Linked DNA regions of Lytechinus pictus. The protein of the gene in region 2 purifies or fractionates together with the protein of the main gene of each other region. This does not show direct contact. Links are inferred from orthologs where the notes say so. Each region holds a gene or a part of one and is shown on either strand. Other genes may lie near its edges.

Evidence for each region.
Region 1: the proteins of la-related protein 7-like (region 2) and protein LTV1 homolog purify together in Homo sapiens (affinity purification with mass spectrometry; 3 studies listed by BioGRID and IntAct, with this or other methods). This does not show direct contact. The link is inferred for Lytechinus pictus from reciprocal best matches to the Homo sapiens genes LARP7 and LTV1.
Region 3: the proteins of la-related protein 7-like (region 2) and putative ATP-dependent RNA helicase DHX57 purify together in Homo sapiens (affinity purification with mass spectrometry; 3 studies listed by BioGRID and IntAct, with this or other methods). This does not show direct contact. The link is inferred for Lytechinus pictus from reciprocal best matches to the Homo sapiens genes LARP7 and DHX57.
Region 4: the proteins of la-related protein 7-like (region 2) and ribonucleases P/MRP protein subunit POP1-like purify together in Homo sapiens (affinity purification with mass spectrometry; 3 studies listed by BioGRID and IntAct, with this or other methods). This does not show direct contact. The link is inferred for Lytechinus pictus from reciprocal best matches to the Homo sapiens genes LARP7 and POP1.

The regions. Positions count from the first base shown.
Region 1 is NC_087261.1:15,872,608-15,880,041, forward strand, and holds the start of protein LTV1 homolog, read right to left. Parts: upstream 3,001-7,434; 5' UTR 2,920-3,000; coding exon 2,917-2,919; intron 1-2,916. UniProt on the Homo sapiens protein: Essential for ribosome biogenesis.
Region 2 is NC_087262.1:10,071,010-10,078,770, reverse strand, and holds the start of la-related protein 7-like, read right to left. Parts: upstream 3,001-7,761; 5' UTR 2,870-3,000; intron 791-2,869; 5' UTR 790-790; coding exon 600-789; intron 1-599. Other genes in the region: alcohol dehydrogenase class-3-like, read left to right, coding at 7,413-7,436. UniProt on the Homo sapiens protein: RNA-binding protein that specifically binds distinct small nuclear RNA (snRNAs) and regulates their processing and function.
Region 3 is NC_087251.1:25,962,685-25,970,375, forward strand, and holds the start of putative ATP-dependent RNA helicase DHX57, read right to left. Parts: upstream 3,023-7,691; 5' UTR 2,938-3,022; coding exon 2,519-2,937; intron 2,086-2,518; coding exon 1,894-2,085; intron 1,689-1,893; exon of another isoform or gene 1,535-1,688; intron 740-1,534; coding exon 551-739; intron 315-550; coding exon 193-314; intron 1-192. UniProt on the Homo sapiens protein: Probable ATP-binding RNA helicase.
Region 4 is NC_087261.1:30,211,798-30,219,242, forward strand, and holds the start of ribonucleases P/MRP protein subunit POP1-like, read right to left. Parts: upstream 3,019-7,445; 5' UTR 2,866-3,018; coding exon 2,794-2,865; intron 1-2,793. UniProt on the Homo sapiens protein: Component of ribonuclease P, a ribonucleoprotein complex that generates mature tRNA molecules by cleaving their 5'-ends. Also a component of the MRP ribonuclease complex, which cleaves pre-rRNA sequences.

The DNA.
Region 1 (7,434 bases), on a different chromosome or scaffold from region 2:
GAGGTTTCATAACAAGATTATTGGAAGACGTGCAAGTCGTAAGAAATAGACAGAGAACTGGGGGGAATTGAGGTCACTGAATCTATTTTTAGCACTCTCAATCCCGTAATTGCCGTCTTTGTCCCGCAGGGGTAAGTGAAAAAAAACAATCCCCATAGACAAGGAAAATCTCAATTTATCAAGACATGATTTGTCTTGGTTTATGAGGATATCCTTGTTTCCTCACTTTTCAGACAATCCCAATTTATGGACCAGCGCCTCTACTGTTCAATGTACCAGAACTACTCAACTAGATCTATGATAATTATGGCGGCATTTAACCTTGATTTTAAAGACTTTCTCATGAAATCATTGTTTGCTGGTCAGAAAATGCCGCCCTCTAGATGCGTCTTGCAGCTAAGCTACTAACAAAGAGAACAAGATGGGGTCGTAAATGGTTTTTCCCCCATCTTCTCATATTTCTCAGCATGCTCAGTTTTTTAAGTTAACTTAATGAATATTTAAAAAAAAAATCAATAATATTAGGTTCTAGGACTACTTACTAACTTAGCTTACCAAAATATTGAATTTGGCCAAGCTATCTCTGAATGTCAGTGTTTGATATTTTTTCTTCTTTAGAAAGAAGTTCAATTTCGTTTCAACAATTTCAGAGCTGCAGCTGCATGCTGGCATCCAGAAAAGTTTTGAAAAGAATTTGGAAAGTCAAAATTGCAACTGTTTTTCTAGACAGCTGGCAGCCATCTGTTTCGTGGAGTTTGTAAACATTTTTTTTAATTTCTCCTCGTACACAGACGGCTCGCGATTGTGCAGCCGCCATTAGGGGGTAAACAATGCAAAATCCCCCCCCGACGGGGCTCATCGATCTTTGTCTGTATTTCATAAAAATATATAAAAAGAACTGGGACAAAATAAAGATAATTATTCCGTTTTGGCCTGAAATGCACCATAACGGGAAAAATAAACTAAAAGGGGAAAAAACAATGACTTACTTTGGCTGTCGCGCGACTCCCACTTCACTGGTTTATGACACTCTAGGCGACACCGCAATACTTACCCGTGTTAATAAAGTGGGACTCCGCTCACGCGCGTTTGGGCCTCCCTAGCTTAGAACTAAGCACTAATATCACCTTAAAAACTAAATCTACAAGGTATGTATAATCTATTTAGTAATTTGATAATGTTTAAACGGTACTCACCAGTTCTTTTGATGTATTTTCTCCAGAATTCCCACGGATTTGTCCCAAATCTTGCGACAAACCACGTCGCGGTAGACAGCTGTACATTTTTTTTTATTTATAAATAAAGCGCCCCTTACGATAGTTGTTAACAACGCGGCCAAATCGTTAGGTTTTTTGCACTGTGTCCAAGGCTTTTTTATTTTGTTTGATTTTTTATTTTTTAATAAATATTTTGTTCAATAGCGATTTTTACGTCAAATATTAAATTTATATCACAAAATATTTTTTAATTGTAGAAATATACATAATATTATGCAATAATTTATTCTATATATATTTTATAATAAAATTTATAATTGTTGCGGTCTTTAAAAAAAGGATAGTCGATTGATCAGGTGATGACCACACGTATCACGTGATCTGAAAATCAGCTTCATACCGCTTTGATCGCACTCAACGGTGACCGGACTGACTGCCAAAAAAAGATCGAAAAATGACTCAAATGTAAGTTTCCCTTTATTTTATTAAATTCAAATTAGGAATAGGAATATATTTAATGGGCAATCTTTTAATAAATGATAAACAAACGAGGACAAAACTCATATTTTGGGAGTAATATCATACTTGGGTGCAGGAAACAGTACAGTTAGAAGTTCTAACCTGTTTTTAACGCATTGTCGCCTATGAGGTCCATACATGCTAATGTTTGGACCTCATTGGTACTAGGAGTGGTTTATGACTATGTCATGTGAACTTAATACATAAATATATGGCCATTGAGTCCCTGTACAGATCGAGTTAGAACTTCAGTCTCTGTAATTGGTGAGTGGAGCCAACGGAATCCGGCGGAACAACCAATAATTCAGAGACCGAAGCTTTTTGGTCTACTGTTTTTCAATGTTTTTGCCTTGGAGTTGGACTTTCTAAGTAAATCCTCAGTAGAGGCGCTGGTCAGAAAATTGGGATCGTCCCAGTTTACAGGGACTGTCTCAAGTTTATAAGGATTTCTTCACACAAGAAATCTAGGAAAGTTCATTCACCTGTCAAGTGCCAACACCAATCAAGTGTGCTAGTCAATGTAAACATATCGGGTTTCATAACAAGATTATTGGAAGACAGTAAGTCATGAAAAATAGACGGTGAACTGGGGGGAATTGAGGTCACTGAATCTATTTTTAGCACTCTCAATTCCCGTAATTGCCGTCTTTGTCCCGTAGGGGGGAGTGAAAAAAAACGTCCCCATAAACAAGGACAGTCTCAATTTATCAAGACATGATTTGTCTTGGTTTATGAGGATATCCTTGTTTTCTGGGACAATCCCAATTTTTGGACCAGCAGCGCCTCTACTGATCCTCATCATCATGATCATAATTCATATGTCTGATCCAGGCACATCTTTTGTATTTGTATTTAAACTACTATTTTTCTCATATCATATCTGGTCGGAATAATGTGCTATTGGAAAATTTTACTTTTCCGCGAATTTAAGTCAAAATACCATTTTCCATGCCATGCCCATGGTCATGGAATTGCCTTCGCACTTCTCGGGTTCGATCTTCAGACACGAATGTCAATTGATGGGACCGAAGTAATACTCGTGAAAAACATGCACATCTTCTGTGAATTTAAAACACCAATTTAGCAACCTGAACTAAATATTCAAATCTAATATTATCGCAAATACTACTAAGATGGTCTAAAATGCGTTATTTCAGTGAAAACGCTTTGTTCAACTTACCATGATTGCGTTTTTTTAGGTTTTTGACGTCGCGTTATTTCAGAAAAGCTTGCACGAGCTCATACAATATCCATTATGGTATTCGTGAGGGGAAAATTGAAAATTTAAGTCCTTTTGACTTAACCTGTGAGAAGGTCGTGTCCCTGTGTCATGTTTCCTATCTCTTATCTTATCTTATTTTATCTTATCTGAGTCTGCAAATATATGTAACGAAATTAAATTCATTAAACAAGATATGAAAATTTTGTTTTTGAAAAATGATGCTAAAAGTCACAATCTCCACCAATCGTTATTTTTTAAAATTGTAATTATAATATATAGGCCCGGAATATAGGCCTATATATACAGCCTGTACACAAAAAATCAGCAAATGATCCAAATCTTCTTCTTCTCCTTCTCCTCTCCCTCCTCCTCCTTCTTCTCCTTCTTCTTCTTCTCCTTCTTCTCCTTCTTCTCCTTCTCATTCTTCTTCTTCTTCTTCTCCTCCTCCTCGCTCGCTCGATCGCATTGCCTGTTATGTGATTTACATATCCTGCTCAATATGGAGCTTAAAATATCAAATTTTTAAGTCAATATACGTGTACAAAACATATTTCAGCTCGGAAATATTTCACTATTTTGTTTTATTTACAAATCGATTTTTAAAAAGTGCTCGGTAAAAATTTATGTTTTATGGTCTGAATATTGATTTGTCATGTTCCTATTATTTATAATAATAAGCATTAATTTATATAGCGCAGCTTTTATATGGATATATTCAGCTGCGCTTGTTCAGAGCTCTTTTTACTTATGTCTACACAGCATATTTTCTTAACTAAAGAGATATGTTTTTAATTTTGATTTGAAGAGAGCCAAGGATGGAGAGCTTCTTATATCAATTGGCAGGCTATTCCATAGTTTGGGGGCAGCAAGTGCAAATGCACGATCACCAAGTGTGACTTTTGTTTTGTGAAATGGGATCTGAAACAATAATTTATCTGTGGAACTTCGCAGGCTTCGACTGTGTGATTGGGTTTTAAGTTTGAGTAATTCTGTAATGTAATGTGGGGCTTGACCGATTAATGATTTATATACAATTAACAGAATTTTGAATGAAATTCTTTGACGTACAGGCAACCAGTGGAGTTCTCTCAGAAGAGGTGTAGTGGAACTGAACTTTGGGACACTTTCCTGTATTCCATAAAGTTCTCAATATATCCCTTTTCAGTTCAGATTGTCAAAACGTATCAGCTAACGCTGCACGCTCGCATTTTGATTGGTGAGTTATGTATATCTGAACATTAGTTCTATACCAAACTACTTAAAATTCCCATTTCATGACAGTTTTTTTTTTTCGGCTCGCGATTTGCGCTCGCATTGATTGTTGAAAATATATTAACTCATGCATCTCAAAATTACAAAAGAGCTTTAAATGTCAGGTTTTCAGGCCATAATATTAACAGATTTCGCGCTCTCCTTAGGCTTATTAGATTAATAAATAAGATATTAATTTAATAATCAAACTGTCCCCTTTTTTCAGAATGGAGTATCGACAAGTTTCATCTCGCGCTTAGGAAGAGAAATAGGAAGATAGCCATCATTTTCATATGACATAATGTTCTTAGAATGTCCGATGGTCAAAACTCATTGTAATAATGAAACATATCAGCTCTTTTTTAACTGTGATCCATATCCACCTCACAATTTTCCTACAAAGTCAATAAATTGACCCCTTTTCAGATCGGAATATCAAATACTTTAAGCTCACGGTTCGCCCTCGCTTTATTGATTGATAGAAAAAAGCCGAATGCCCAGATTCTAGGTCGAAATCTGAAACACGCGCGCGCATGCTTATTCAGATAAGCAGGTTGTTCTCTAATCAAATCATTATCAAGTTTCAGATCACAATATAAAAATTTTCTGCTCGCGCTTTGCGCTCGCATTATTAATGTAGGAAGATTACCAAATGATCCTTTTCATGATTTACAAAACATTAGTGTCCCGGCCATTTTTTCTAGGTGTAAATCTCGAGCTTAGAGCTCGCATCAATTTTTTTTTAGTTATATACTTATCCTTTTCACGATTACAAAAAGTGCATAGAATTTCCATTCTTCAGGTAGAAATGTCAAAATTTTCAGCTCGCGCTTGGCGAGCTGAAAATATTTGACATAAAAACAAATACCTCGCGCTTCGCACTCGCACTATCTAAATAATTAGAAAGTCAAAAAGGGGCCTAAGCTTTCGATCCTAGCAGAATCTTCGTCGGAGGCAAAATAAATAATTGTGAGATTATTATTATATTTATGTTGATTTATAAGAATAAAGCTTAGAAGTGACTATTAGTACTACCCCTTCAAAGAAACAAACAAAAATCAACTTCGAGAGGCCGATCGGGGAAAATGTGGCTGAAAATAAATTCCGCCCCCCCCCCCTATTGGCGAAGGCTGGATCGCCCCTGTATCAATATGATATTCATACCATGGAGCTATTAAGAGCTCTATGTTCATACTATCATCTGAGTCACTGCAATATATTAACAATTTCGGCTCGCGTTTAGCGCCCTCATGTACTGTTTAGTTAGATATGCATATTGTTCATGATGCTTATCAATTGTAAACTTAAGATACACACCCATCCTGTTCATGATTACATTGCTTTGAATGTCCTATAGTATTTCAAGTCAGCTCGCGCTTAGCGTTCTAATACCATGTTCTCATCAAAATGGGCTTGAACTGTTTTAAGGTATGAATTTAAATAAAAATCAGATCACGCTTTGAGCTCACATTAATATAATATTGTTTGATATCTATTTCTGATTGCAAAAAGTGGTTAACCTCTCCAGTTTTCAATCAGAATCTCACAAATTTTTAGCTCGCGGTTCGCGCTCGTATTATTTGATTGGTGAGATATATATTCTATTCATGAGTCACTGTAAACAGTTATTAATAAGTCCCTTTTCAGGTAATAATTTCAGCTCACACTTCGCGCTCATATGTGAATTGTTTAGTAGATACGCATCTAGTTCATGAAAAGCTGCTCAAAATGTTAATTTTTTGGTATAAACATAACAAATATCCCCCCAAAATGGGCTCGCAGGGTAAGTTATATTAAGGCTACATGAAATACCTTACCTTGTTTCTGAGAATAGTGGCGTAATGAGCCAAAATTTTGAGGGGGCTCGATATGGCGTATGTGTAAAATTAAAGGGGAATCCAGCCTTGGCCATAAAATGTTGTGTTGGGAAGGAGAAAAATAAATTAAACAGAATGGCGAAAGTTTGAAAGAAATCGGACAAGCAATAGGAAAGTTATATAGCTGCTTTAAAATTGAGATCACTAATAGTATGTAGATTTCAAATTGGCAACTGGCTAAGTAAATTATGACAAGGGGCAAGGACAACTTTCCCATAGGCCATGTACTTTATTATCAGGGATTTGTGGTTTTCTCCTAAGTACCCAATCCCCTGGGGCAGTAATCTAAATATAATCCAGGTAATATATTGTTTTATGTCCTCATGAAAGAAAAATATAATTTGAAATAAAACTTTTGGGAAAAATGAAATTTTAGCCATAATATTAATTGGAGTACATGGAAGAGTAGTCCTTGCCTTACATCACTATGACATCCCATATGCGGCCAATTTGAAGTCTCCATGGGTATAGTGATTACCAATATTTATAACTTTTAAAAATTCATAACTTTCTTGTTGTTTGTCCAATATTGTTCAAACTTTCACCTATCAACTTGTCTGATTTTTCTTTTTCTAATAAAAACAAGTTTTTATTTGGGTTGGATTCCCCTTTAATAAAAAGTTGCATGCGAGCGAAGCGAGCGAACAAAAATTTTGACATCCAAGTTTGTGATAGATTTTGAAATAATGTTCAGAGAGATATATAGCTCAGTCGGTAGAGCGGGGTTTTCGGATTCCAGTGGCCTGGGTTCGATTCCCACTTGGTGCGCTAGTGCCCTTTGGTAAGGCATTAATCCTCATTACCAGGTCCCTCGGAGAGGATTTTAAGCTGTTGGTCCACCGGTTGCTTGCTTACAAGCATTCATGCTTTCTTAGCAATCAGGTAAAAAATCACTACCAGTCATATTTCCCCCTTATCCCTTTCCTTTTCTTTCCTTCCTCTATTTTTTTTGGGGGGGGGGTCTTGAAAAAAATTTGGGGGGGGGGGGCATGAGCCTAATCCTGCTCATCTGACAACTTACTGATGATGAATCATTAAAGGGACAACAAACAATTTCTGTGATTTTTTATGGAGATTCGAACCTTGATAATCTATGTGCCCTTTTATATAACTAGCTGGTTAAATTAATGTATAGATCAAGGTGCATACGTTTGAGGCGACTTCAAAATGTTGGAGTATTTAGATTAGTCCATCTTGTAAATTACCGTAAGACATTATGTAGAAGAAAAAAAAGGAAAGGAAAATATATCATTCTCTGAAAATTTTTCGAAAACTGGTACCGCAAGTAGTTGCTCGTTCGCTTTGCTCTCTCTCAGAGCTTTTTTTTTAACTGTCTAATAGGACCTAC
Region 2 (7,761 bases):
CGATTAATCGCTAACCTTTGTGTTACGGGACCCAGGTGGGGTTCACTAACTTTTGAGCACCACTGTGTAACCGGGGAAGTAGTCAATGCTGGTGCTTCCGAGTCATGAGGTCGCTGTGCACAGAGAACCTTTTCCCATAGACTTTGAACATGTGACTCGGGGCGAGTGCCGGTCTTGACTACATCCCAGCCTATAACCCAATACATTGCAGTGGATTTAATGACAAATTCCTGTTTGCCCTAAAACATTTATGATGTGACGGAGAGGAAAGGAAATTGTGCTTTACAGGATAAATTTTACAATTCTACATTAAATCCAAATAAAAAACCTGCATTTTTATTCTTTGAGAATAAAAAGATACAATCTTTATTTGAAAAAATGCTCAAGCTTTTTTTTTTAAAGAAAAATAAAAACACAGCGAGAGAGGGCATCAGATATCTGAGAAAGGAATGCTTGAAATTCCAGAGAGAATCAATGGTTGAAAAAAAATCAATGGCTAAGTACACTTCTGTAAGATTGACATGTCAAATGGACGACAATGGTCAGTTGTAACCCTAACCAAACGTTTGAGCCAGCTTTAAAACTGACCACAGACTTACATCCATCTTTATTTTTAGACATTTCTTGCTTCAGGAATCGATCTTTCCTCAAATTGGCATCGCTGAAGTAAAACTCGATCTGCTGACTGACATCAAGTATGATTTTCTTATGGCGCTTTCTCCTCCGCTTCTCCATCGAGGCATCTCCAAGCGACGAGTTGTCTTTTGCTTCTGCTTTATCTGCTTTCATCCTGCAGATATGGTACAGATGAAGAAAAAAAATTAGAACTTAAAGCCCAAACTAACAGAGAGGTAACATGTTCAACTGCCATCAAATATCTAGGAATAGTGTTAGGGCGACATTTTATTGGAGCTGTTTTTGGTTCTTATTTTCACAAATATTTAAAACAATCATCTTTCTATCAGAGGGCATGGGTTTGAATCCCAGCCATGGCGTGTTTTCCTTCAGCAAGAAATTTACCTACATTGTGCTGCACTCAACCCAGGTGAGGTGAGGCACCAGGCAGGTTTATGCCCTTGAAAGCAGAGTGCTGCAAGGTACATGTAGCTCGGGCTAAAGCTGGGGTAATAATTTATAATAATAATAGTGCACCTCGAAATGGATTATTTCTAGATAGATGGCGCTATACAAATGCCTATTATTATTGGTAGTAAAACACTAAAACTAGTAATAATGTATCGCCCGGGTAATTTGTCAATTATTCATCAGGAATGATGATGATCCAGAGTGAGACTCAAAGAGTCAGACAGCCAGGCCCATATTCCAAACCTGGGTTTAACTAAAGTCTGAGCTAAATTTTTGTTGTATTCAGACGTGAAAGCAGGACATTAAATGAACACGCTGCATATCTTTAAAAAGAAACTAATTAAGTACCGAGTGTGAACTGAATTATTTCTTTCTTTAGACTTGAAAAAAAAAAACGAATTGTGCCTAGTAAGCATAGCGTGCAGGATATGATTAATGTGAGCGAGAGCATTTTTATAAGCAGAATTTATTTTGGCATGTGACCCAACAGGATTGCTAAATATGCCAAACCCCTCCTCTCACTTTCTTTACCACTCTTCCTCCTTTCAATTTTTCTTCCTAATTCTTTTATCGATTCCTTCCTTTTCTTGTCTCTCCCACTTTTTGGTTTTCTTTTTTCTTCTCCTTTTCTTTTTTTTTTCTCCTGTCTTTTGTGCCACCAATTATGTGTAGGCCTCTTGGGTCAGAGCTCTTATCTCTTTCTATTTCCCTTCATTTATTAGGCATAAATATATATATATTTTTTTTTTTTTGGGGGGGGAATGGGGAAGTATATAAAGGAAGCAAAGGTTGTTAGGCTCATATTCCACGTCCTGGACGATTTTTAATGATTGTGCAAACCCTTTGCATCTATCTAGACCCGCACGCACACATTTACCAACACACATGACACACTCCAACGATTCACGTACCACCAGTGATTCACCTAACCCACTGATTCACTTTCCGCGAAAAAATGTGACTATTCAGGGCGTGTGTATGTGTGTTATGGGATTGGTAGTGTGTTATGTGTTTGGTAGTTGCATACATACAAAATATAAAACATTCCAGGAGGTGGACTATTAGGCTCATAGATTCGTATTTTTTCAATGTTTTTTTTTTTAGGGGGAGGGGAAGGACCGAGGCTCCCTCCCCTGGCTCCACTTCAGCTTCAATCCCTGGCTAATTATGGCCAAACAAAAGGACCAGTCCAGTAGCGTACGTCAGCCCCCCCCCCCCCCCCCATTTGGTATTTTTAAACCCAAAACTCCCCTGAAAGAAATCAATTTTTTGCTTGTCAATTTTTTTGGGGGTAAAAATTTCCTACCCAAAAAAAATTGACAAGCCAAACTTCCCAAAGACAAAGTCTTGAAAAAAAATGTTATTTTACTGTGGCTATATTTAAAGGAAACGACCTAAAATTTTGGGGTCGTCAACATTTCATTCGGCTTGAACCCCCCCTTTCAAAAATCCTGCATACGCTACTGGGCGAGTCATTATTTCCGCTATCATGAAATTTGTCACCAGTCCCCGACGTTCATTTTCAGATTCACTGCTTCAGCCTTCGGCTTCACTTCAGATCACTGACTTCATTATCATTAGTGCATGCTACTGACAGCTTTCCATAATTCCATTCCCATAGACTTTGTACAGAAACGAACGCTGAACGATTAGCCAGCGCCAGCTCAGCAGGCCAAGCAAGGCGACAATAAGTTCAAAACAAATGTAAATAGTGTCCGACTTTCCATCACCCACACGACAAGATTACCGTATGGAAGTTTCTTACCTAAATGATTGTACTTACTTTTAGAATACAGCAACAAAATACACGTAGTATATGTCTAGGAGCTAGTATTTAGATGAAATTTGAGACAAACGCCGTGTTCACGCAAGATTTTCTTTTACAGCTTTTAAGTATGGAACGCTATTTATTACGTTCGTAAACGTAACACCACTTCGTTACTTTGTTGGGAGTTTGAAATTTATCCCGAATTTATCATACACGAGGCCGAGGGGGTGTTGTTTTCTTGAGCTTGCAATGATGGGGCCCCCATGGGGGGCAAGCACGGCGAAATCATTTCTTTATGGGGGGGGGCAAACCTCCCAGGAGGCCCATCGATTGGGTCCTTTGGGGGAAGTGACCAAGTGACAGGTTACTATAAATAGGAAAGACCGGGGACATGCAGAATAATCAACTTTACTAAATACTTGCTTCAACTTGAATAAAATGAAATATGCATATCTAATTGGCTTGGCATATATCTTATATGGATAAATTTGGGTTAACTAATCTAGAAGCTAGCTGTTATCCGGGACTGTTATATCATTTCTCAATTCACAATTGCCCCACACGGCCGGGGTATAGGCCTTATAGTAACATCTAAATCATTTCTGTCAAATGATTTTGTTACCAAATCGTTACTGTCGGTTTATTTTGTAACAAAATCATTGCAGTCGTTTGATTTTGTATCAAAATCCGGGGGGGGGGGCACTTCCACTTAACAATTAAGTATTGGAAACAAAACGATACTCTTGGCAAGTATTCCCTGAATTGGATCCCTAAACAAGTACCGCAGCGATAGTTCTGTTTTATACCTAATTTACCTGACATCGTTGGGTTTAATTAGTTCAGCACCACCTGCCACATACCCACTAGCGTACCTATGGGGGGGGGCAGGGGGGGCACTCTGCCCCCCCCCCCCCCTGACGAGTCAAAACCCATGCAAAAACGTATCTTTGCCCTGACGGGCTTGTATAACCTTTTTTGCCCCCCCCCCTGACGAGCTTTAAGACCTTCAATGCCCCCCTGACGAGCTTGAAGACCTTTTTTTTTTTTTTTTTTTTTTTTTTTTTGCTTGTCAATATTTTTCTGGTACGAAATCCTTTATTTGTGATCGAAGACCCTTTTTTTTTTTTTTTCAAATTTTTTGGCGGACGGTTTTGCCCCCCCCCTGTGGAAAATCCTAGGTACGCCACTGCACGTACCTCCCCCACATCTCGCGCAAATCATACTCTAAACAAGTAGAGTTGACCCTTGGGGCATTATAAAACATTTTAGTCTTCATTTTTGTACCCTCGCAAATTTGACCCTAACACGTGCGTAGCTTTCCTATAGCGAAAATAGATAACCTAATTTTAGTGTTTTTGACACCCTTAATACGTTACGTCCGTAACGTGCCCTATCTTGAAAAAGACATCCTTTTTACGTGTTTTTTTGGTCGCGCATGGTATCCACTCGTGAATAAGTGCCCCCCCGGGCCCCCCGGGACCAAAACGATTTGGAGAGTGTTTTTGTTACAAAATCATGCATTTATTTTAACAGAATAGGCCTACTAATTTACACTTGTATATCCCACATGATGTGCACCTCTTAATATTACTCGCCATGAATTGCCTCGTCACACACACAAAAAAAGTAAAAATTTGCCGGGAAAATTAGCTTCTGAAAAAAAAAGAACTACTACTGCCCAGTAAGATTTGGTGTGCCCCCACTGAAAAAAATTGGCAGAGCAAGAAAAAGGGAGAAAGAAGAAAAGAAAAAGAAGGGGGAAGAAAGAAGAAGAGGGAAGAAAGAAGAAGAGGAAAATAAGAGGAGGAAGACGAGTGAATAAAATAATGGGAAGACAAAAGAAAAAAAAAATTCATGTTGCTTCGCGCTCGGATTGCCTTTTCGATGAGAATCATGTCTTGCTAAAAAGGGTGATATGGAGTCCCAGGACCAAAATCCAATTGAAACCAGTTGGATTTCCAACTGGTTTCAATTGGTTTCAATTGGTTTTAACTGGTTTCAATTGGTTTTAACTAGAATTTAACAATTTCCAGTTGAAACCAATTGAAACCAGTTGGGCAACTGGAAATCCTAACTGGAACCAGTTGGGTAACTGGAAATGATTTTTAACTGGAACCAGTTGAGTAACTGGAAATCCCAACTGGAACCAGTTGGGCAACTGGAAATCCTAACTGGAACCAGTTGGGTAACTGGAAATCCTAACTGGAACCAGTTGGGTAACTGGAAATGACTTCCAACTGGAAATGATTTCTAACTGGAACCAGTTGGGTAACTGGAAATCCTAACTTGAACCATGCAGTTGTTTAACTGGAAATCCTAACTGGTACCAATTGGGTAACTGGAGATGACTTCTAACAGGAAAGATGGGTAACTGGAAATGAATTCTAATTGGAACCAGTTGGGTAACTGGAAATGATTTCCAATTGGAAACCAATTGGAAATCATTTCCAGTTACCCAACTGGATCCAATTGAAACCAGTTAATTTGCATATTATCTGCCAGTGTGCACAGATTAATGTTTTATGAGATTCATCATCATTAACAATGTATCTATTTAATTCTTTTCAATTTCAAGTACCACATTTTTTAAAGATAAGTATTTAAAATACTTAGCAGTGAAAACCATGTTCATAAATGTCATAGATTATAATTAAAACAGATTAAAGGATAATTAGTACACCACTAACTGTTACCAAATTACATCAAATAAAAATACATATATTTGAAGATCTTCCATATAAATATATACATATATGAAAGTCTGTATTTTATCAATGCCCTTTACATTGGTATTAATAGACATATAACACTGCTTCTGTGTTGGCATGAGCAATAGTTAGTGCAAATGCTAATTCATTTGTAACTAATTAAGTTCATTCCAACTGGAAGTTCCTATTGGATCCAGTTGGAAACCAATTGGTTTCAACTGGTTCCAGTTGCCTCCAACTGGTTTCAACTGGAACCAATTGAAACCAGTTGCCTTCAATTGGTTTTAATAGGGAAATTGGAACAACTGGAACCAATTGACACCAATTGCCAACTGGTTCCAGTTGCCCAATTGGTTTTAACTGGAACCAATTGGCAACTGGTTTTCAATTGGAACCAATTGGTTTTAACTGGAACCAATTGGCAACTGGTTTTCAATTGGAACCAGTTGTTCCAATTCCCCTATTGAAACCAGTTGGCCAACTGGTTTCAATTGGTTTTGCCCTAATTGGTTTTAACTGGATTTTGGTCCTGGGAGTCGTCATGTATGTTCCTGCATATATGTTCTTTATTTAAAATGTGTTTGAAATTATCCAGTATCAGATCAGAACTTTTATTTTCTGCTCGCGCTTCACGCTCGCATTATAATACCCAATTAACCATATCCTATTCATGATTTACTAAATATGAATAGATTGTCCCGTTTTAAGGTCTAAAAACTCAAATTTCTTCCGCTCGCGCTTCGCGCTCGCATCAATTGTTTAGTTACATACCTAATATCCCATTTCACATTACGAAAAGTGCTTAGAATGACCATTTTTTTTTAGGTTGGAATGTCAAAAATGTTTAGCTTGCACTTCGCCCATAATAATTGTAATATGTACCTTCTTCGTGTGTAACTATAATTAAACAGTCCTTAACAGGTCCCTTTTCGATCATGCCAGAACATTTATTGAAAATTTCTGCTTGCGCTTGGCGTTCGCAGTAATTATCTAGTGTTCAGGATCACAAACATTGCCCAGAATGTAAGATTTTCAGGACAAAATACATGAAAGTTTAAGAAAAATTAGCTCACACATCGCGCTCGCACTTTTTATATAGGGCTTATGAGATTAATCTCATATTGTTTAAAGCTAAGAAGTGACCGATCGGGGAAATATATAATTTTGGGCCCACCCCCTAATTGGCGAAAGTCGGATTGGCCCTTGTGACACGCACAGAAAAAAAATGTTGCCCCCCTGAAAAAGCAAGGACCCCCCAGTGCCCCTCCAGGAAAAAAATCCTAGCTACGCCACTGTACTATATAGTACTCCCTATAAGGGCCTAGTCTGATCTAAGAACTCAAAATTAAGTTTACAGCATATTCTAACCAAAACCAGTAAAAAAAAAAAAAGTGAAATAGAAAAAAAAAGATGAAGGAAAAGAAGCTTTTCATCCTCTCAAAGAAGGCTCCAAATCAAAGCAGTGGCAAAAATAGTCATTTTTTTGACTGGTTGCCAATTAATACACCACAACTCAAAGACAGCTAACAAAAGAGGGAGAAGTGCTTGCAGACGACACTACGTCCCTGGATAAGCTTTGCACACGTCCCTCTCCCTCCTCCAGCGGGCCCCGCCCCTTTTTGCCTGACCAAGCGCCTTTCTTCGGGCGGCCGCAGCGCCGGAATATCGGCCGTGGATGCCCGCCTGCCCGCCTCCGACTCCGCCCCCGTGCCCGCGCGCCGCCGACCGCTCCACGATACCGCATGTTTGCTGTACTGGAATTTCTAACAGGAGTCAGGAGAACAAATTGTCCGCTTCATCAAAGCTAAATTTTACGGTTTCAGAAACTGCCCAAGGATTACTAAGCTGACATGGCTGATAGTACAGTAGGAAAGGTACCGGTACCGTATTGTATCTTACCATACCTAACTTAGTGTAGTAATCGTAACGTTAAGTTAGAACTTAGATCGTTGTTAAAAAAAAAAAAGCGATTTGTGGAAGTTTTGTGCATGTGTTGTGTGCGGGTGCATTGCCATTGAGGAGAAACTAAATATGCACAATTATTCTAGGAAAAATTACTAGGGTCTACCGTATATGTTTTTTAAGAGATGTGAAATAAATGAATTTGAATTTTACATGATTGATTTGCATCATGGGAGAGGCGCATGGCAATTAATATGGGCATGATGGGAGACTCCCTCCATTCTCCATCAACCAATT
Region 3 (7,691 bases), on a different chromosome or scaffold from region 2:
TATTTTCCAACTATTTAGAAATTCACTTGCCCGACCGGGCAAGTGCTTCTAAAAAGTTATGTAGCACCCTGAACAAAACAGCAAATCGTACATTGAAACTCATGCATGTATCATTAAGAATATTGAAAGGATAAGAAATACTAAAGATTTATTCATTTCCACAATCTCACAAGTGAATTTCTTCAGACTCACCTTGTTCTGACAATATCGAGTGATTTTTCAAAAAATCTTTGTAGAGTTGTTCCAATGCTAAACCTGCATCTGCATCATTATCCTCTAATGCTTGCAGACTGTCTTTCTTAGGGTATCCACACCTAAACACCAACAACAAATAAAAGATATCAAATGTTGCCAAGTAAAGACATGCTTGATTTTTTTTTACTTGCATCTACATGTATTAAGAAGCAAAGACCAGAATTAACCAAATCAAATACAAGTATACAGAAGCTAAAAGGAACAAACAGCATGAACTCTGACCTCTGATTGGTACACAGAAGATAAAGTTAAATGTAGTGGTATTAGAAGAGTCGTGTTGCTATGATAAACTAACCTGATAAGTTTCTCCACAGCATATTTACTGATCTTTTGGGTATCATCTTTGTTTTCTCTATCATCCTCTTCCTCATGCCAGACACCGAGAGGGGTAAAGCTTGAACCAGATGCCTCTACCTTCAGGGAGTTGTCATCAGTCCAGAAGTGACGATTGGTATCATAATCAAGCTCTTCGTAGTCTTCTAGTCTGCAAAGCATGAGATTAAGGGACAGTGATTATTTCAAGTACAGGATATTCTACTGACTGTGTGTAAACAGGGTACTTAGATCATGGATATTGCATCCTTGATTTTCATACATTCTACAGAGTGTTCTCCATCGAGAAACATTGTAGTTGCTAACAATGCCAGGCTGTCACCGAGTATAACTAATCTTACATACCCTGTGATATCATTAAAATGTATTACCCTCCTCCCTCTTCCTTCCCCTTTCTTCCTCGTCCTCTCCCCCTCTCAATAGGATTTGTCAACAAAATAAACATAGACGGAAAGAAAAATAAGAAAAAGAATGGGAATAAAAAATATTGGAGCGTTGCTAGAAACTTCCAATTTATTGGATGTTTATGTTTTTTGTCTTAGTTCTATTGTTATTATCCTCAAATTTGCAGAACAATAAATTGGCACATCTCAAATATCTCACTTATCACCTAGACAAAAATTTAATAAGATCCCCCATCCCCCTAAAAAACAACAACAACAAGTTTTCTGTGTGCACAAACTACACATCATGAATATGCATCACCTCATTTGCATATCTCATTATGTATGCAAACTTCAATTTTTTACATGATATGGACACTTTAGAAACACATCCCATTACAGAACTGATCTCACTATCTTCAAAAGTTATCTAAAATGGACATAAAGATGATTTTGTTTTTTTATTCATATAAATCAAGCAAAAAATAGTGATTTATATTTCACTAACCACCACACAAAAATATGGTGAAATTTCATAGATGTGAGGCATCCCTTCATGTACCATGCCTTAAACTAATGAGTAAGGAAAATAACGAGCCTAGGTAGCCCTAGGTTCCACAGCTTATTAGTCTGTGAGGAATTTCTTTAAGGGGACAGGTTGCCCTTGGTGTGGCCTACCATACTTCGGTGGGATGCCCATGATTGGTGATCTTCCCTCGTCCCCAAAATATAATCAAAAGTCAGGATAGGTTGTAAACTCTTAAGGTTTCCATAGTGTAAAAGAAGGGTGTAATAGACAATCATATGCCCACAAAATAATACATGGTGTACTGTGCCCCACTACACTCCAATGAGTGTAGTGGGGGCACAGCATAGCTCTAATCGGGACCAGGTATCACGCACACCTAGCCTGTAATCCTACCCCATGTCTAGGTCCAGGTCTGCTCCATGTAGTTCCCTCAAGATATCCTTGACTAGTTCCTGGTTTTCATCACTCATATGGAGGGACTGCATCTTGACCTTGGAGGGTTGATAGTTGCCTCTCCTGCGACTAGGAGCATTGGATTGATAAGATTGGTAGGCCTTTGGTTGGTGAGTTTGAGGTGCCTGGTAGCTGTGACAAAAGAAAAACACAATGGAAGTAATGTGTAAATTGTAATGAATCACTTCAATTTCATTTATTTAATTTGAAATTGACTGAATTATTTTAAGTTGAAATTGCAGATCTGCATAAGAAATAATCAAACATACACAAAAAAGTAACTTCACTTATTCTATCCAAAATTCTATCCAATCTCATTTTTGTATTCTATCCAATCTCATTTTTGTATATAATTGTTTTAATATTGAATGTTTAACGTCCAATCAAAGTTGTTTCACAAAATTTCAAACAATCAATATGAATCTTCATATTATTCTAATAAACCTCCAAAATTAGATGAAATTCATTTAAAATATAAGATAGATCACTCAATCAAATAGCAATTGTCAATCAAGTTTATACATGTATTGCAAAACAACTATTGGATAATATTTTCCAACACTACCTGGATGTCTTCTGCTTGTCCTGTTTGGGCATGAGTACAAAGTCATCATCATCATAGTCATAGGACATGGATACACTCTTGCACTTCCTGGCTCCTGTGTCTGCCACCGGTCCATAGGGCTTTAGGTTTGACCCTGGCTGCTGGCCTCCACCACCTCTAGCTCCTCCTCCTCTTCCACCACGGCCACTACCTCTTCCTCCTCGTCCTCTCCCTTCTCCACCTCTACCTCCTCCTCCTCTACCTCTTCCTCCTCCTCTCCCTCCTCCTCCTCTCCCTTCTCCTCCTCTCCCTTCTCCTCCTCTCCCTTCTCCTCCTCTCCCTTCTCCTCCGCCTCTTCCTCCCCTTCCTCCACGGTTGGCCCTGCCTCCTCCCCTGTTCGGCTTGCCACCCCTTCTCACTGCTCCTGATGGTTGGCTCATGGTGTAACCGTGTTAGGCTTACTGAAGTCAAAGCACTGTAGAGAGTTTAGGGTGCATGATCATCTAGTATATCCTTGACAAGGCGAATCTATGTAATATAAAGATATATTAATAATTAATCAGAATTCAGAAAAAAAATACATTCCCTTATGAATTTAACCAGTGGTGTAATGTGCAAAAAATCTTGAGGGGGCCAGATATGGTGTATCGGGAAAAATTATTGAAAACTTACAAGTGAATGAAGTGAGCGAGCGAAGATATCTAACATTTTAATTACAAAAATCCAATTTTGTAACAGATGTTGACATAATATTTTAAGAATAATATCATATTTCACCCTTCTCTCTTTCCTGTTCCTTTTTCTTGGTCGAGAAAAAATTGAGGAGGGGGCAAGCACCCCCCCCCCCATCTGCACATCACTCATTTTAACTTTAAAAACTTATAAAACAAGTGGAATGCCTCTGGCGGTCTCACCTGACCTGCATCACTCGATTCAATATATTAGCAGTGCTGACTTTCAAAACTACTATAAAATAATTATTCACAAAAAACACCATTCATATAATGATACAATACTACGTTCATTGACATTTGACCTTGATCATGTGACCTAAAACTTGTCAGTGATACTTGATTACCCCTATATCCACATTTTATACACTATATCTATAAACTCTGAAAGTTATGACAGCAATCTAATGATTACCTCTAAAATGGCCAAAGTTCAATGAACTTAAATGACCTTTGACATTGGTCATGTGACCTGAAACTTTGATGGGATCTTGATTTCTCTTATGTCCAAGTTTCATGAATCAAATCCATAAACTTTCAAAGTTATTATGGTAATTCATCAGATACCCCCCATATTGCCAAAGTTCATTGACATTTGACGTTGGTCATGTGACCTGAAATTCGCAAAGGATGTTCAGTGATACTTGATTACTCTTATGTCCAAGTTTTATGAACTAGACCAATAAACTTTCAAAGTTATGATGGTAATTAAACAAATACCCCCAACTTGGCCAAAGTTCATTGACCTTACATGACCTTTGACCTTGATCATGTGACCTGAAACTCACACAGGATGTTCAGTGATACTTGATTACTCTTATGTCTAAGTTTCATGAATCAGATCCATAAACTTTTAAAGTTATGATGGTAATTCAACAGATACCCCCAATTTGGCCAAAGTTCATTGACCCTAAATGACCTTTGTCATGTGACTTGAAACTCAGGCAGGATGTTTAGTAATACTTGATTAACCTTATGGCCAAGTTTCATGAACTAGGTCCATATACTTTCTAAGTTATGCTGTCATTTCAAAAACTTAACCTTCGGTTAAGATTTGGTGTTGACGCCGCCGCCGTCGGAAAAGCGGCGCATATAGTCTTACTCTGCTATGCAGGTGAGACAATAACTTTTTTTGATCTGTTGATGGATTTAACTTAAACCTTCACCAATATTTTTCATTACTTTTTCTTTGATTTTATAGTTTTACAATAAACTTTTTATCAGGGTTAACCATGAACTTCCCTTTTAAAGGAAACCAAAACCCAAGAAGAGAAGCAATCTTATTGGAAATAGTAAAATGAGTTCATCAAAATCGGTTATGAAATCAGCTAGTTATGGAATTTTGAAAAATCTACTTGTAGGATGGGGGGTCGGGTGTCCGGACACTTTATATTTTTGAAGCCTTTTTTTGTCTTTGGATTACATGAAAAAAAAAAGAATTCAATAGTTGTAATCATCTTCTATTTTGTTCTCTAATTTCCTAACATTTTGTACTAAAAAATGATGAAACTTTGCTTGTAAATTTTTCCAAATGACTTTCTAAAATTGATCGTCCGAACACACAACCTGTCCGGACACACAACTGGCAGACTGGGTATACTTTCTATGCCTATATGGATATGGGGATTCTCAAATTGGCAAACATGCTTCAAAATGGCTGATTTTGTGGACATTTCTACGTAAAGAATGGAAATTTTAATCAATTTTCGTAATCGTGAACAGGATAGCTATATAACTAAACCATGTATAATTTGATGCGAGCGCGATGCGAGCGCGAAGCGCGAGCGGAAAAAAAATCGAGATTTAGACCTAAAAACGGGACACTCTATTCACGTTTTGTAAATCATGAAAAGAATGAGTAATAGGGGATCTTCGTACATTAATAATGCGAGCACAAAGCGCGAGCAGAAAATTTTTGATATTGTGATTTTAAACTGGAAAATGATTTAAATTAAGAGAACAAGTTGAGTATCTGAATAAACATACGCGCGTGTTTCATATTTAGACCTAAAATCTAGGCATTCTAAATAATCTTTTATCATGAAAATCAAAGTGAGCGCGAGCTTAAACTATTTGATATTCCGATCTGAAAAGAGTTTTTTATAGGACTGGGACATCCTTAGGACATGTCATCTTATGAAAATATTGACTGTCTTCCTATTCCTCTTGCTAAGCGCGAGATGAAACAATTAAAAGGGACAATTTGATTATTTAATTGATATCTTATTCATTAATGCCTAATGAGGGCACGAAATCTGATGATATTATGGCCTGAAAACTGGACATTCCAAGCACTTTTGTAATTATAAATAGGATGCAAGTTAATATATTTAAATCATTAAAGCGAGCGCAAATTGTGAGCCTATTTTTTTATACACTGTCATGAAAAGGGGATTTTAAAGGTCAAGTCCACCCCAGGAAAATGCTGACTTGAACAAATAGAGAAAAATCAAACTAGCATAATGCTGAAAATTTCATCAAAATCGGATGTAAAATAAGAAAGTTATGACATTTTAAAGTTTCGCTTATTTTTCACAAAACAGTGATATGCACGACTAGGTGAGTCAGTCAATGATGTCCATCACTCACTATTTCTTTTGTTTTTTATTGTTGAAATTATACAATATTTCATTTTTTATAGATTTAACAATAAGGACCAACTTGACTGAACCATATAGTATAAAACAATGCTAATTCTACATGTTCAGGGAGTAATTAATCGTTGTATCACTTGACAATGAGGAGAAAATTAGAATATATCATATTTCATACAATAAAATACAAAAGAAATAGTGAGTGGATGACGTCATAGTCTCCTCATTTGCATACCAGCCAGGATGTGCATATAACTGTTTTGTGAAATTAAGCAAAACTTTAAAATGTCAGAACTTTCTTTTTTTACATCCGATTTTGATGAAATTTTCAGTGTTATGCTTGTTGGATTTTTCTCTTTTTATATAAATCAACTTTTTGTTGGGGTGGACTTGTCCTTTAAGTAGTTTGTTGTATAATCAATATTGAGACAACACAACCTGACAACTCGCCAATCAAAATGCAAGCGTGCAGCGCGAGCTGATACGTTTTTACAATGAGACCTGAAGAGCGATATTTTGAAAATTTTAGGGAATACACGAAAATAAAAGGTATGATGGGGTGTCCAAACTTCGCGCACTTTTCAAAAATATTCATCAGGCTTAAATTTTTTTCACAAAATATTCATAATTTATACAAAACCAATTAAAAAAATAGTTACCACATTGACGGCAAGATCGTAAACTATAAAATCATGGACGAAAACGTAAAGTAGGTCAAGGGGATTCGCCAGTATCGCGATCTCAAAATTCTATTCCGATCGGCGAATGCGCGCTGTGCTGGATAACCGTTCAGAAAAAGTGTGACCTAACTTCGCGGACCAAAGTTTTTGCGGACATTTAAACAAAAACTCAAGCTAAAAAAGTGAAATATTTATATCAGATTGATGGCAAAATGCTATAGAATCGGTTAGTACCACATTTTAACTCACATTTTTGATGATTTCTGCTTGCAAAATGGTGATATCGTGATGCTTGTTGAGAATATCAGATTTCTTCAAAACGGGCGCTAAACGTGACAAATTTGACGATCTTTTCATGAATACTGAACTCATCCTAAAGAAAATTACACCAAAGGGTAATTTTAGGTCGCTTTTCACGTTGATGTCAGATTTTAAGGATATTGGCTAGTTTTTTAGATAATGACCGTCCGCGAAGTATGGACACGCGCGAAGTTTGGACTCACTGCCATACCTGCAAGATAAATCAAAATTTGCGAGCGCGCAGCGCGAGCAGAAACTTTAATATTCAGACCATAAAACTGACATTTTTACCACTCCTAGTACCAATGAGGTCCAACATTACATGTATGGACCTCATAGGCGACATCAGTAGTATTTTTGGTTAGAAATCTCTGAGAACAGGATATTTAAACATTATATCACAAGTACAAGCTATAATTCCTTTCTCTTATTTAAATTATAATTTTATAGTGTAAATGCATCGTTAGCAACAACAAAAAATGAAAGAAATGAAGGGGAACTTACATTTTCACCGGTATTTTATAGATGGCAAATATAGCGATCTTCAACGCTTATATATAAGCGTCGAAATTTGTAGCCATCTCCTTGTATTAGTCTATATTATACGACGTGTCAAATTGTAGCGAACTAGTTCGCTATTTCCAGATCTCCTCTATATATATATACACGACGGGAAATTGTAGCGAACTAGTTCGCTATTTTCCAGATCTCCTGTATATACATACGATGGGAAATTGTAGCGAACTAGTTCGCTATTTTCCAGATCTCCTCTTAACGACGGGAAATTGTAGCGAACTAGTTCGCTATTTTCCAGATCTCCTCTATATACAGCCATCTCCTTGTATTAGTCTATATTATACGACGTGTCAAATTGTAGCGAACTAGTTCG
Region 4 (7,445 bases), on a different chromosome or scaffold from region 2:
AACTATGCCATTCATTTTAAAATAATGTTTCTAATTGTGCTATGACACTTACCGAACCATATGGATCGTTTCTTGACTTTTCTTTGGTGTGTTTTTAAGAAAAAAAAAGCATTTTCTCGTGATCTTCACGTAGATACCGCAGGGTCATCGTGGTTGTAAACTTTTGCTTAAAGAGGGCGCGCGATATTATTCACAAGATGTTTGTTTACGGTTCTGCAGCTTGTCCTGCTAGCTGCATTTTAGACGCTCAGCATTATTTTCCTCTTTCTTTTTTTTTTTTTGCTGTCAAGCGGTATTTTCTATTGTAGCGCCATCAGCGATGATGAAATGTAAAGAGTCGCCTTGAAATGAAGAAAAATTATGTCACATTAATTCGTTAGTTTGTTTCCTTTTTTTTTTGCACTTTTTTCTTCTTCCTCATCTATGATCAAAGGTGAATACCTTTTTTTGATATCTGTTCTAAAAGCTGGACATTTTAAATATTTTGTTCAAGTAAATAAATCAACAGGATAGTAATCAAAATGCGATAGAGCTGCCCGAGCTGAAAATTCTGATACAAGGACTTGAAAATAAAAAATTCTGAGCACTTTTTATAACCATGATGAGGAGACCTATATATATATATATATATATATTTATATATATATGTATATGAAATAAGCTAACACGAAAAAAAGACGTTTTGGGGACTGTTAAATAAGAATTCATGAGTGGGATAGGTAACTATCTATTCTATTCTTGTTCGTTTTCTATTATTATTTATGTGTTGTGTTTATTTTTCTTGAAGCACCAAAAGGTGGACATGTCCGCTAAGATATATTAACGAAGTCACCATTATTATCACAAGCTAACGGATCAAAATGCGAGCGTGAAACGTGAGCTTCTTTTTTTCTTAATTCAGTCTTAACGATACTTTTTCATCATATTTTAAAGGTGAATCTCATGATTCAAAATGATAAATGCTTGTCGCACGGGCAGAAATAGCGGGACCAATAGTTATTTTCAATATTCCGAACTGCATTCTGGACGTTGTATAAGCGCCTTTGTATAACAATTAAAAGGGTAGGCCTATTTACCTTACAAATTATGCGAGCGCTGAACTTTTGGACATTTAAACCTCAACAAATGGACATTTTTAAAATATAAACAACATCATAAATGTCACTTACAAAAATGATACCAGCGCGAAGCTCGCGCTTAGAGTTTTTGATATTGATGACAGGACTGTATCTAAATGAAAAATAATGCATTTGCGCTTAAGATTTAAATTTGGGATTTGAAAAGTCCGACAGATTACCTATACTTTTAAAAGAGGAATGACCTCCAGAATTCAAGCGCGAAGCACCAGTAGATTTATGTTGAAGTTTAGACCTAGAACAGGGACGTTGAACCTTTATAATCATGAAAAAGATGGTATTTTTATAAATAAAACATGCGAGTCTAATTTTGTTTTAGTGTTAATATTCAGATCTTCAAACTTGACATTTTCCTATCCCCTTCATCATCCCCTCTCCTTCTCCCTTTCCCCATTTTCGTTCTCCCTTCTTTTCTTCTCTCCCTTTCCCTTTCCCTTCCCTTTTTCGCTTTTCCTTTCCCTTCTTTTCTTTCCTTTCTCCCTCCCCTACTCTTTTCTCGCTCTTTCCATTTTTCTTTCCCTCTCCCTTCCCCTCTTCCTTTCTTTTGTTTTCTTTCTATTTTATGGTCTCTATTTCCCTCTCTCTCCTCTACCTTTCCCCCTCCCCTGATCTGTCTTTTATTGTCTCTCCTTCCCTTTCCCGCCCCCTCCATTCCCTTTTATCGCTTTTTCCTTTCTCTTCTTTTGCTTCCTTTCTCCCTCCCCTACTCTTTTCTCGCTCTTTCCATTTTTCTTTCTCTCTCCCTTCCCCTCTTCCTTTCCTTTGTTTTCTTTCTATTTTATGGTCTCCTTTTCCCTCTCTCTCCTCTACCTTTCCCCCTCCCCTTTTCCTTTTCCTTTCCCTCTCCTTTTTTGTGCAAACATTAACACGAATATCTTGCTTCCTACACACACACACAAACGCCCGCAATCTAACACACGTAATGCGAAACAATCGGGACATTATCATTTTGTTCATATATATATATGTATATTTTCTCAATGAACATTTTCATCTATTTAAAGCTTTGAAAATTATTAAACAATGATTCCATAGGCGAAATCTCAACGATCATTAGGAAGGTACTTTACCCATTTTCATTTTATGTCATTGTGATTATTCCATACTAAGGCAACATATTTTGGATATAAAAATACGTGAATATGTTCCTCTTCTGTTTTATACTTTAACAGAAAACATTTTGTTCAACCAAATTATGATTTGTATTTCCAAGTTCCATGTAATATTTTCATTGGAAAATCTCTTAAAGGTCAAGTGCACCCCAGAAAAAATTGTTTGAATAAATAGAGAACTATGTTGATTTTTGGTACAATTTCCTATTATGCGCCGACGACTTGAATCGAGAATGTTCGATAGGAAAATTTCGCATTTCGATTGTTGTTTGCGTAATTTCCACCGCAGTACGAAGGATGACTAAGGACGGACCGAGCGAAGTATCCTGGTTGAGATTTGGAGGTAAGCGATAAAAACACTTTAATAAATAATTTGTAATTTCTTTTTCAAATAAACTTAAACCATACGATCAAGATTAACATACAATGACATAGTGGACAAATATTGAAAGGTTTGGCGTATAGTCCCTCACATTCGTGTGATGAATGAAAACGTCAAAATGCACTATGAAATCACATGTGTTGTGCGAGGTTAGTATACTAACCTCGCATGTTGTGTGAGTGGGTGGAGCGTAGTGTAGCGGTAGTGATGTGAAGTGTGGAGCCTGCACGAACATCGCCCGAGGTAGGTGTCAGCGAACCTTCCAGATTCTCCAGGCCGCTGGAGACGGGGCACGGGTCTTACACCGGCACCGCATCACCAGACAACAGACACTGAGTCTGAGAAAGGCATACAACTTAATTTTTGTTCTTCTCTCGCGCTCTCTACCATCATCAATAATCAGCCAATTCGGCACAATTCATATATCTTCTCCATAGGATAAAAATCCTCACCTTAGTTCTAACTATCCTTTGAGTTTTTGTCACTTTACGCAAGACCGGGGGCCGATTGCACAAAAGGGTCTTTCCAAGGACCGTCTTTCGTGTCGCCCATCTTTTATGATACGCCATGTGAAACGCATTTCAAATAAATTATCTGCAAATATATTTTATTTGTCCGTTATAATAAACAAAATATTTGTTTATAAAATGATGTGATATCTTATTAAATACTATAAAATTTGATTCAAAAGCAAGCTTACGAATTTTATTTGTTTATCATAAATTTCAGAAATACCCCGCTTATAGCGCACCATAAAAGATGGGCGACACGAAAGATGGTCCTTGGAAAGACCCTTTCGTACAATCGGCCCATGGTCGTCTAGTGCAGCACGTGTGTCAGTCACCGTACGTCTGTCGATCCGAGGCCGGTGTGTGCGGGCGATCGACCGGTTAAGGGACCGAACCGAGAACGCGTGCCCGACGCGACGGGCCAAAATGATGGGGGGGGGGGGGAGACTGGGTAACTGTCCCTGTTTTTATTTATACACGCGGGCGATCGACCGGTTAAGGGACCGAACCGAGAACGCGTGCCCGACGCGACGGGCCAAAATGATGGGGGGGGGGGGAGACTGGGTAACTGTCCCTGTTTTTATTTATACACGCAGTAAAAAAAGGGGGGAAAGTGGGAGAAAAGGGAAAAAAACAAGAACAGAATGAAAAGGAAAGGTCGGGCCTAAATTAAGTACCGTAGTACTTATGAGAAATGACATCCCGTCTTGCCCCCCCCCCCCCGATCAAACTATTCCTTGTATATCATCTTTTTACATAATATTTATACATGCATGTATTTTATCAAAATCATTGTAATATCATGGATGTAGAAATCCATGGTAATATGGTATATTGCAAAATGTAAAACACTGTTCACAAAAAATAAATAATCACCTTAATTAACATCGTAATTTGTTAACTTCGATAATTTTGTTCTTGTACGATCAACATATAGGTGACAATCAGTGGCGTAACTACGGGGGGGCATGGGGGGCACGTGCCCCCCCCCCCCCCCCAATCGGCTGGCCCCCCAAAAAAAAACGGGGAAAAGGAGAAAAAGAGGGAGAAAGGGAAAGAAACGTAGTGGGGAAAGAAGAAATTATTGTTAATTATAATGTTATATTATGTTATATAATTATGTTATGTTATATTACATTTAAAAAAATTATAACTTTATGAAACATAATTTGCGCAGGGCCTATGTCTTCATTGTTCCTGGTGCTCGCATTGTATGTTTAACAAGATATATAATCCTGTTGTACTAAAACCTCCCGTTTTCAAGTCAATATACACCAAATATATTTCCTCGCACTTCGAATTATTATTGTTTATGTAGTGACATATGCTTCTATTTCATGACTACTTAAAGTGATTGCCCCATTTTAAGGTCTTAATGTAAACCATTTCCTGTCCGTGCTTACGTTCGCATTCGTGGATTGGTGAGATATGTCTGTTCTTCATGAATTCCAAAAATCAGTCGTTAAAATGTCCCTTTTTCTGATCTGAATATCAAAAAATTTCAGCTTGCGCTTCGCGCTCGCATCATTTGGTTAGTGAGATGCGTATATGATAATGACTACAAAAAGTGCTTCATGTGTCATTTACATGTAATTCTAACAAGATCAGCATGCGTTTGGCACTCGCATTAGATGACTATGGTGAGATATGTACTCTTAATGGATTCCTTAAAAAAATAGTCCTTATATCCCTGTTTGGGGTCAATGATATGCAAAAATTTAAGCTTGCGCTTCGCGCTCACATATTTTTGTTAGTGAAATACGTATGATCTTCGTGAATTCCTACAAACAAGCCTTGAAATGTCCCTCTTCAGGTCTGAATTTCCTAAATTTTCAGCTCGCGCTTCGCGCTCGCAATATTTGATTAGTGAGATGCGTATGTTAACCATGATTACAATGATTACAAAAAGTGCTTCATGTGTTTAGATGTATATTATTCTAACAAAATCAGCAAGAGATTGGCACTCACAATAGATGACTATGGTGAGATATGTATACTCTTAATGGAATCCTAAAATAAAGTCCTTAAAATGTCCCTGTTTGGGGTCAATATATAAAAAAATTTCAGCTCGCGCTTCGCGCTCGCATGGTTTGTTTAGCGAGACAGGTATGTATTATGATTACAAGAATTTGCTTATAATGTCCTTTTTAGGTCTGAATTTCAAAAAAATTCAGCTCGCGCTTCGCGCTCGCATTATGTGATCAGTGAGATACATATCCGTTTAATGACACTGTCCTGAAAATGTCTCTTTTATGTCAGTATACCTGGCAACTGAGCGCACTTCGCGCGCTCTTTAAGTGACTCAAAATTTTTGCTGGTTCCCCCCCCCCAATGCCGTGACCCACGGTACGCCAATGGTGACAATCAAAATACACACTTGGCCATCAGGATGCAGGGTATCTAGGGGGAGGGGGCACGTACCCCGGTTCCACTTTCATTGGGGGCGCAAAAAAAGGGAAATTAGGGACGCAAATAAAAAAAGGAAAGCAAAAATTAAAAATAAATAAAGAAAGGAAAGCCCCCCCAAAAAAAAAAAAAATTAATAATAATAATAATAAATAAATAAAATAAGTAAAAACTTAGGTAAAGAAAAAAATTAAAGGCGCAGAAAAGCCACTGAAGGTGATCCCGTCCTACGTTCGGTTCATTGCCATTTCGTCTATACTGCCATTTTGTCCACTCACCGCATGGTCTGATATGTCATTTCGTCTACCATCAGTTGGTCTACGTACTATCCACATCGTCCAATTACCATTTTGTCCAATAGCCGGATTTCCATTTCGTCTATTATCACTTTGGTCTAATAGCCATTTGGTCTGATTGCTTTATCCCCAATATTATTGGCCCAATAGCCACTTTGTCCATTTTCATTACGTCTATAATTACCATTTAGTCCACTAGCCAAGTGGTCTCAAGGCAAATGGTCTATGTTAATGACCACTTAGTATAAACCCATTTCGTCTGACAATTTGGTCTAATTGCCATTCGGTCTAGTCACGTAGGTCCAATTGCCATCTTGGTCAATCATCATTTCGTCCAATATTAATTTAGTCTATACAATCATAAATAGCCCTCTATACGTGTTCGGTGCGTGTGTATATTGCCGACTCGACTCCTGTTGCTCTTGTGATTTGTTATTAATTTACACCTGTTGTTTGGTTAATCTTTTATATAATTGTTTCAGACCTGAACAAAGTATACATGAATAGGATATAGGTACTCCACAAAATAAAACAATGCGAGCGCGAGCTGATCTTTTTTCATACTCAGACAACCTTAAAACGGGACATTTTACCATGTTTATACTGAGCACTTCTTTAAAATCCCTTTTAAAACCATTAAGAATAAAAGATTGGTGTCCGAGTACAATTGACTTTAAAACTGCACCCATTATAATCCATTATAATGAAGATGTACAGTATCTCATCGAACAGGCAATGCCAGCGCGAAGCACGATCTCACGTAAAATTTATGATACTGGAAAAATGTATATTTTCCAGGTCTTCCCCTCACGTTGCATTCACTTGTCTTCCTCCTCTTATTTTACCTTGTCCTTTTTTTCCCTTCCTTTCCCACTTTTCTCTCATTTTTTCATTTTTGTGCCGCCAATATATAGCTGTTATAGTTATTATAGTACCATTCTTATTTATTACTATTATTACTGAACATTTGATTTTATTTTATTTATTTATTTCCACATTCCAATAATAAAAGTATATACAAGAGTAATCATTTTTTCTTAGCATAACATATCAATAAGCAAATGACATATATAATGAATAACATATGCCGTAAGGGCACTAGTATTCAACCCGTTTGGAGAGTTTCCTCAAATATATAGAAATATGGAATTTACCTTAATTTCGGACCTGTCTTATTTCCAATAGCAAATGCTGGTTATTCTTTTTGCGTTATTTTTTTCTTCAACCCTTCAACTGCGTGCGCGGGTGATCGAATTATACGGCGATGGTTTTTTGCACTAGTATTCAACCTAGCGATGAAAGATGGCCCTGTCTCTCAATCTGCTCTTGTCCCATCCGACTATGGACTAGACCATTTGAGATGAGACCAAACAGGGATTAGTCAAAGCCAGAGACTTACATAGATCTAAACCATTTTGAGATTCGCTATCTATCATCACTAGGTTGAATACTAGTGCAATTCAGTGCAAAAGGTCATCGCCGCATAATTCGATCCTCCGCGCATACAGTCGACAGATTGATAAAGAAAATACCAACAACAGATTACCCTGGAAATAACAAAGGTATGAAATTAAAATAAATTCCCTATTTCTAAATATTTGGGG